Linked DNA regions of Canis lupus familiaris. The protein of the gene in region 2 interacts with the protein of the main gene of each other region in a pairwise test. Links are inferred from orthologs where the notes say so. Each region holds a gene or a part of one and is shown on either strand. Other genes may lie near its edges. The genes, in order: COX5B and BHLHE40.

Region 1 (4,319 bases), on a different chromosome or scaffold from region 2:
CTGAAAACATCTTTCATAGCTCCTGTTGCCCACAAGCCAAGGTGTGCAAGGTTCTTAGAAGGGTGGGCGTTTAAAAGTGTAAACACTGGGGAATCCCTGGGTGGCTCAGCGGTTTAGCCCCTGCCTTCAGCCCAGGGCCTGATCCCAGAGACCCAGGATCGAGTCCCATGTCAGGCTCCCTGCATGGAGCCTGCTTCTCCCTCTGCCTGTGTCTCTGCCTCTCTCTCTGTCTCTCATGAATAAATAAATAAACTCTTTAAAAAATAATAAAAGTTTAAACACTGCCCCCCCCCCATGGCTGCTGGGACTCGGTTCACATTGTCAGCACAGCCCTATCTTAATCTGATTCCGTGCAGTATGTTTCCATACCAGATGGAGAATCCCTTCAGAGCAATGATTATGCCCTATTCATCTTTGAATCCTCAGTGGCTTCTAGAAGGCCAGCATGTAATTGGATCAAGTAAATTTTAGCCAATTTACTTCTTGGAGAGAGTCTACAGAACAAGTTTTCTAGGGCTGCTACTGGCCCAGTGAGGTCAATTTGAGGTAAACTTGGGGAGGGCTGAAGTCCCAGGTGTTTCCATCTGTCCCATGCAGGCTACATTTTCAAAAGGACCTGGTGGAGCATTCCTTCACAGAAGCACATTTGGTCTTCACTGGACTTCACTCCCTCTACCAAGAAAAATATAGAGTCTCTTCTGAGGCAAATTTCTTACTCCTCTTTAAAAGTGGGTTTTCTTTGAATGGCTTACAGTGTGACTCCCTTCTTTTACCTCCAGTGCAACCGCTCCAAATTAAATTGGAAAAAAAAAAATTTCCAGGGGATCCCTGGGTGGCGCAGCGGTTTGGCGCCTGCCTTTGGCCCAGGGCGCGATCCTGGGGACCTGGGATCGAGTCCCACGTCGGGCTCCCGGTGCGTGGAGCCTGCTTCTCCCTCTGCCTATGTCTCTGCCTCTCTCTCTCTCTCTCTGACTATCATAAATAAATAAATAAATTTTTTTTTAAAAATTCCATAAATCTTAGGAATGTTCCCCAAGAATCTACAGTTGATTTGTACCTATGGTTTGATGTTTAATGCTAGGGGAAAAGCACTGGTCTGAAATATAAGTGTTTTGGGATGGTACCCAATCAGCTGGCTTAGCCAGTCACTTTTTCTTCTGGCCATTTTTCTCATCAGTAAAATTGATTAGACTAGATTAGTATTTCCCAAAAAGTATTGCACAGAATTCTAATCTCAGTAGATGCTTTCGGTAAAAAAGACTTGGAAAGTCCTGCATTTGATGAACTTCCTCTTGGAGATGCACATTCTAGCATATTAAGGTTCTGATTAGGCCTGCAGCAAAAGCCTAATTAAATTAAAAGCATAGTTATTGCTTAATTCACCCGGGGTTTATGTCAGAGATTTTCTATCTTCATTGACCACTCTTTGCCAAGAAGCACCTAACCCAAGTCTCAGCAGACCAGTGAGAAATGCAGTTGTGAGCTGTTATGATTCCCTGCTGCCTGACCACAGATGGTTCACTCCAGCCTATGAAATAGAAATATGGTTGATGCCTAATCATAGGACATTTTTTCAGGTCCTTATTCAGCTCACAAAGACCTGGGATTCTTCAGACTTTGCAGGTGAGCTCCGATGTCAGGACCAGTCTCTAAGTATCCTATCCACTCCCTGCTGTCTCCAGCTCCTTCCACCCTTTGCTCATATCGACTCCTAATGTCTTCTTGATAAACAGTTTTCCCTATTCCTGCTCCATCATTGTCTTTGCCAAAACAAGAAACTTTCAGAGTATTATTTTTTTTTTGCTTTTATATGATTATTTTTAGTGGTCAAAATAACTACATACTGTAGTAAGTCAAACATATGTGACAATTAAGGAAAAGGTTCACTATTAACAGTTTTGTGTTTTTCCATTTTTTCCTTTATACCAGCATTTCTCAACTTCAATACCATTGATATTTTAGATTGGATAATTCTTTGCAGGGTAGGGGTGCAGTCCCGTGTGCATTGTAGGATTTTTACCATTTATGCCATTAGCATTCCCCAGTGGTGACAATCAAAAATGTCCTCAGTCACTGCCATTTGTCCCCTGGAGGGCAAAATTACCCTGCCCCATGCTTATATAGACATATTCAAACAAATGCACATATAAGGGCTGTTTCTTAAAATATACAGATATATAAGTGAATATCGATTACAAAAATATATATTACTATAAAAATTACTAGTAAATTGCTTCTTTAAAAAATATTTTGTGGGGGCAGATGAATGGCTCAGTTAGTTAAAAGTCTGCTTTCAGCTCAGGTCATGATCCATTGGGCTCCCTGCTCAGAAGGGAGTCTGCTTCTCCCTCTGCCCCTCCCCCTGCTCATGCTCTGGCACTCTCTCTCACTGTCAAACAAACCTTTTTAAAAACATATTTTGTGGACATTACAGATCAATACAAACAGATCTAACTCATTATATGTAATTGCTGCATAGTATTTCCAACTATAAATCTACTGTAATTTGCCCATTTCCCCCTTGATGAATATCCAGAATATTTTTGCCTATCAAACAATGCTGCAGTGCATGTCTATGGACACCTAGCCTTCTATTTTGGAGGGTGTGTATATTAAACATCAATTAATTCTGCCAAATTGTTTTCCCAAAAGTTTGGAGCAATTCATGTTCCCATTAGTAGGGCATGTGAGTGCCAGAACTCACCTCTACAAGGTGAGTTACCCACCTTTTGCAAAGTTTGCCCGCTGGGTGGATAAAACACAAGATGCTGTTGGTGTTTGCAGTTTCAGTTCCCTGACCTCCAAGGCAGCTGAGCCTCTCTTCATAAGGCCATTTGCATTTCCCTGTGCTGTGAACTGCCCGGTTTAGCCACTCAAGCAAGCTCTTTAGTCTCTTTTTGCCTCAGTTTTCTTTTCTTTCTGTCGGGCATAAGACGTACCTCTTTATGCTGTTGTGAGGACCAAATGAATTAACACTCATGAAGTGCTCAGAACTGCCTAATACACTGTAAGTGCTGAGTTAATGCTGGCTTTAAATTGGTCAATTCGATATATTCCCAGTTGCTTGAGTTTATCCAGAAGATCTCCAGAAGGATACAAAAGAAGCTAACAGAGGTGCCAGGGTGGCTCAGTTGGTTACACAGCTGCCTCTGGCTCAGGTCATGATCCCAGAGTCCTGGGATCAAGCCCCACATGGGGCTCCTTGCTTGATGGGCAACCTGCTTCTCCCTCTCTTACCACTTGTGTTCTCTTGTGTGCTAAGTGACTAAATAAAATCTTAAAAAAAAAAAAAAAGAAAGGAAGTTAATACAAGTAGCTACTTCTGTGTATTTGTGGGGGTGAGAAAGTGGTGGTGGTTGGTGAGAAACAGGGCCACAAAGGCAGGGGTGGGACTGAGACCCATTGCAGACCTCTTACACTATTTTGAGTTTTAACTGTATGGATGTATTACCTATTCAGAAATGAAACCTTTTTTAATTGGCTATTCATATTCTTATGAGGGGAGGTTCTTTATCTTATTGACGTGCAGACACTCTTTGAATGTTAAGGAGCTTATTTATATTGAGTCCTTTCCCTGGGCCAAGGCTGGTCACTATTCAAAGGGAGTAAAATGTGGCTTCTTCCTTGAATCTATCACAAGAAAGTGGAAGGGGGTGAGGCATTGTTCTTTGTTTGGGCAAAGTTTTCACAAGCTTGAAAAATTGGGTCAAAAAAGGGACTTAAATTTGCATTTAAGTTGCTCTGGCTGGGTCACAGAATCCCTGACCACTCACAAAGACATATGTAGGGCCAATTTTTAATTATAACAAGGGTGTTGGGTGGGGTGAGACAGTTGCTGTGTGCAGGCCTGCTGGGATCATGCATCACCCAGGGATAGCCTAGACCTCAAGGGCCACCTGGGGAGGACTGAGGAAGATATGATAAAGTGGCTGAATCCCCTGCAGCTTGTGGGAGCTAGGACCCTTCTGGCTGAAAAGCCAGGTCAGAACAAATCAAACGTTTTTGTGCAGATACCACAAATCCAAAATGGGTCACCTGGAACTACTGTCAGCACAGGGCCTGGCTGTAGCTGGGGCTCAGCGGGCTGAGAGGAGGATTCTTACCTAAGTGTGTGTGTAAGAAACAAAAGCTGTCCAATCTAACCAGTGAGGCAGCACAGGAGCAAATGTGAATTGCCACCCTTCCCCTTCCAGAACCCCTCTCTCACCCAGTGACCCTCTTCCCCATCCCACAGAGCCCCATCTATTCTTCCAGAGAGGAAATGAAGCTCCATCTGGGAAATCCTAATGTTCCTCTCTTCCCTCATGCCATCTCTTCTT
Region 2 (4,379 bases):
AATAGAGATGGACTATTTTCGCTCATTGAATTTATAGCTCATTCTTGAGTTTTCATTATAAGCGACTCAGCAGTGAACATCCTCATATGTTTAGAGGATGCTCTTACCAGAGCAAGATTGGACAGGACCAGTCATAGAATGCGATAAAGAATAAAGGAATGATGTCACCTACGTTAGCTTATTTTCAATTTAAAAAGTTGCAATTGTGCTGGAATCTTTAAATTTCAAAGCTCTTTCTAAGCCTTTTCCACGTATCCTATCTATACGCCCCAAGACATCAAGTACGATCATCTTCCTATTTTCAATAAGAAAGCTGGCAGAAGCACTTGCTAGGCTTCTGGGATTCTCATCACATGGGTCTTGGAAAGAAGGGCAAGAAGAATGGAATGAGGGAGCGAGTAGAAGAATTTCTCCCCAGCCTGTACAGTATTATTTGGAAGGGGTGAAACTAGAAGGTTACAAGGTGACTGTGATTCTCTGGAAGTCAGTAGAAACTAATGATGAAACTTCAGTGGTTTCATTAGATTGTGCAATTCACCAAGATACCTAGTGGCTATTCAGGGAACCACATGAAATGTACGAAAAGCTCCTGCTGTCAACCTGCCAGGATCATACCACACACAGAGTGATAAGGAAGTAGAGAAACAGGAAAACACTGGGGCATACCCATGATTTACTCTCCAATGAGAGAGGACTAAGAAGACCAACTGTAAAACACCCAGGATACAAATTATAGGTGCCTTGGCATTTTAAACAGGAGGGGGAAAATGTCCCAGAACCCAGAAACCCTTAAACCAAAATGCCACGGAAATATTTTACCACTTGACTAATATGTATTCATGCCAGGTGGCACACAGCAGCATTCCAAACGAAAAGTCTGACCTTTTAGGAAAGATAAAATGACATCTCCCCCAACGAATGTGCATAAGCAATTTGTTGTAGGAATGTTTCTTATACCAGATGTTGAGCCCAGAGGCTATTTGTGCTACAACTCTTAGGTGATGATAACCAGACTCGGGCACTCACCAGCTTGTAAACCGCTCTGCAGGGCAATGATTTTCTGCTGCTGCTGGTCAATTAGGTTTGTTAGTGCTTTCACATGCTTCAAGGTAAGTTCCAGAACGACTGCTTTTTCCAAGTGACCCAAAGTCTGGAATAAAAAGAGCCTTAGTCAGCAGTGAGCTCAGAGAAGTCCCACCTCTGGGACACTTAGTAGCAATGGGACATATCTCTAAAGGGTTGGTGGGGGGAGGGAAGAAATAGCATTTCCTGTTTGACTATATTTACTTTTAAATTTGGAGATGATGTTTTTAAAAAGTGTGTGTCCGTATACATACATGCACACACTTCTGACTGAAGAATAAAAAAATGAGTGTCACTTATCTTTGAAGGCATTTTTGGAAGAGGTGGCTGCATCAGGAGAAAGCTCTGACAGATAAATTTCTCCAGCAGCCACTGCTGACCTTAACTCAGGGGAATCCGGAGATAACATTTCTCTGCAGTGGTGTCAACCTGAGGAGGGACTTCTACTGTGTCTGGCAGCCAAGAGGCTTCCCCTAGCTTCTTTTCCTGACACCCTTTCATAACTTTCAGCTCATCCAGGCTTTTTACTTCCTCCTCAAATACTATTTTTTTTTTTCCTTTCCCCAACCGAGCGCTGCCAAGCCAGTAAGCTGTCGGCTACTGCCAAGAAAGGACAGGACATAAAAATCGCGCACCCAAACAAGTCCTCTTTATTTTTAAAAAGGGGGATGGCCGAGAGTAGGGGGGTAAATAAAATCTGCGTGTTGCTTGGTTTAGCCAAGTCAGCAAAACTAAAGAACCCTGAAAATCACCAGAAAGGAAAGACCTAAACTCTTGAAAACGAAGGCTAGTTGGTGTTGGAGCCAACTTGGAGAAGTCCAAGCGGTTCTCACTTCATTTGCATGAGGCTGCCAGAAAAATCCCAGAGCCGGGGGGAATGGTACCCCAAAACAGAGCCACCCGCCAGCCCCGCGCCGGCCATCTGGTCTGCAGTTCCCTGTGGGGCCTGCAGGCGGCGGCGAGTGACCCCCGCCCGCCCTCTGGGTAGAAGAGCTGGCTTGGAGCGGGGCCAGCTTCTCACTTACTGTAAGTTTGAGATGTTCGGGTAGGAGATCCTTCAGCTGGGCGATGCACTCGTTAATCCGGTCACGTCTCTTTTTCTCGATGAGCCGGTGCGGCAGTTTGTAGGTCTCCTGCAAGGCGCACGGGGAGGCGGTGGGCGCCAGGGCAAACGGGCGAGAAGCCCCTCTCCTCCCCTCCCCTGCGGCGCGATAAGAGTTGGGGCCGCGGAGTCACACCCAGAACCACTTTCTGCCCCTTCCCGTCCAAGCCGTTTCACAGAAGCACCGAGCCCACACCTTGCATCCCCCCGCCAAGCTCCAAGTGCGAAAACTTTTCTTGGCAGCAGCGCGCGCGCCTGGGGCTGGGGTCCCGAGGGGCGCGGTGTGTCTTACCTTGCTATCCTCGCTCCGCTTTATTCCCCGCCTCGACTTGTACACTTGGTACATGTGGGCAAAATCCATCCTGCAGGAAGAGGGGCCAGGTAGGGTCGTGACTTTGCGTGCCCGAAGGCTGCAGGCGCCCTGGAGGGTTAGAGGCCCCCGGACGCGCCCGGAGCTGCTCCGAGTTGAGAGCGGCGCAAAACGCAGGGCCGGAGCTGAGGCTTGGAGGGGCCGGGGAGCGCCAACTTACCCAGGTAGGTCTCCGGGCTCCAGTCCCGGAGCTTTGGGCAGGCAGGCGGGGGGCGGTTGCGCGCTGGGGATCCGCTCCATGGCGCGGCGAGCCGGGGCCACTGTGCACTCCCGTCTGCAGTAGCGGAACGTCGGGGTGAGGACTGTCCTGCAAGGGGCTCCCGGGAGGGGGGCTGTCTCTCCGCAAGGGTTCCTCCGGGTCTGAGCTCCCCGAAATCCGCTTGGGCTGCCGGGCGCTGCGGCTTTGAGGTGCTGCTTCAGTTGGGGGCGTGCATGGTGTCCCCGCGGCCTCTGGCTCCGGCTCTGCGCGCAGACTGGCGGTGTGTGCTCCCTGCGCCGTCTGCGCGGTGCGAGCCAAGTGAATGAGAAGTGGGGCGGGCGGGGAGGCGGGAGGGAGCGCGGGGGGGGCCGGCTGGGCGGAGGGGGTGGGGGGGCGAGCTGAGGAGTAATGGAGAGGCTGCGGGCTGGGTTAAATGGGAGCGAGTGGGTGGGTTGGAGCTACGTGTTCTACCCTGTGACTCCAGGCACGTCTGGCCGCTGCCAGGGAGGGAAGGAGCGACCTGCCCGCCCTCCCCCGGCTTCATCACATGAGTCTCACGTGTTGGACAACGCTCCCGCGGCTGCGAGGGAGCCCCCACCCCCAGTCCCGGCCCCCAGGTGTCTGCGGCTGCGGCGGCCTTTCCCCGAAGAGGGGGTGGCAGCGCGGCCTGGGTCCTGCCCAAGCGGGCGGGGGGCGCGGAAGCTGGAAGGGGCCGGGGAGCCGCCGCCGCCGCCGGGCCCGGGTGGTGGTGGTGGGGGGGGGGTAGTAACGTGGGCGAACCTGCCCCAGGGAAATGAAGTAAGTTCCCGTCTCCTGGGAGGGAACGGGGGAGGACGGATCCGCCCGCGTCTGACTCAAGCCGGGAGAGGAATATCCCCTCGCTCGCTCCAGCCCAGCCCTCTTCCTCCTCCCCCGCCCGGCCGGCTCCGAGGAACCGGCGCGCAGCGGAGGGAGTCGCCCGGCCCCCCTGCCCTCCCCGGAGGCTGGTGCTGCTTTCCGTCCCGGCTTCCCCGCCCCCACCCCCACCCCCACCCCGCGCCCGGCGTCCAGGAATCGCCCGCCGCGGGGAGGGGCCGAGGGGCGGGGCGGATGTCACCCCATGGGAAGCGGGCCGGCCGCCAAGCGCAGGGGCAGCCGAGGCCGCCGCCGAGCACGCCGCGCGCACCTGACCGCCGAGCGAGTGCGCCGCGGGCCTGGCTCCCCGGGCTCGGCCGCTGGGGACAGCCCGCAGCCGCGCCGCCCGCACCCTCCCGCGCGCTCCCGGGGTCCCGCGGCCCACGTCCGCCCCGCCTCGGCCAGGCCCGCGCGGAGAGGCCCCGGGCGCGGCGCCCACGTGCCCTCCCTCCCTGCCCCCTCCGGAGCAGAGGCGCCCGGGTCGCCTCCCCTCCGGCTGCAACGTTACACAACTGCGGCGGCGACGCCTGCCCTGCGGCAGCACCGGGCGTGACGCTTCACGTGGCCGGAGCTCGGGCCACGGGGCCGCCGCCTGCGAGGCCCTCCCGGCCGCCCCCGTGGGACGCGGACCCCGGGCCCGGGGAGGGACGCGGTGTGCCCGCCGGGGTGGGCCGCCCCCCAGCCTGCCGGGAACTCGGCGGCGCTGTTGGCGGTCTGCACCGCGGGGAGGG

The links.
Region 1: the proteins of BHLHE40 (region 2) and COX5B interact in binary tests that used the Homo sapiens proteins (3 or more experiments, as listed by UniProt). The two-hybrid records come from large-scale screens. The link is inferred for Canis lupus familiaris from reciprocal best matches to the Homo sapiens genes BHLHE40 and COX5B.

What each region holds. Positions count from the first base shown.
Region 1 is NC_049231.1:46,040,511-46,044,829, forward strand, and holds the start of COX5B (cytochrome c oxidase subunit 5B), read right to left. Parts: upstream 2,827-4,319; coding exon 2,727-2,826; intron 1-2,726. UniProt on the Homo sapiens protein: Component of the cytochrome c oxidase, the last enzyme in the mitochondrial electron transport chain which drives oxidative phosphorylation.
Region 2 is NC_049241.1:12,720,715-12,725,093, forward strand, and holds the start of BHLHE40 (class E basic helix-loop-helix protein 40), read right to left. Parts: upstream 3,034-4,379; 5' UTR 2,796-3,033; coding exon 2,716-2,795; intron 2,548-2,715; coding exon 2,478-2,547; intron 2,217-2,477; coding exon 2,109-2,216; intron 1,151-2,108; coding exon 1,027-1,150; intron 1-1,026. UniProt on the Homo sapiens protein: Transcriptional repressor involved in the regulation of the circadian rhythm by negatively regulating the activity of the clock genes and clock-controlled genes.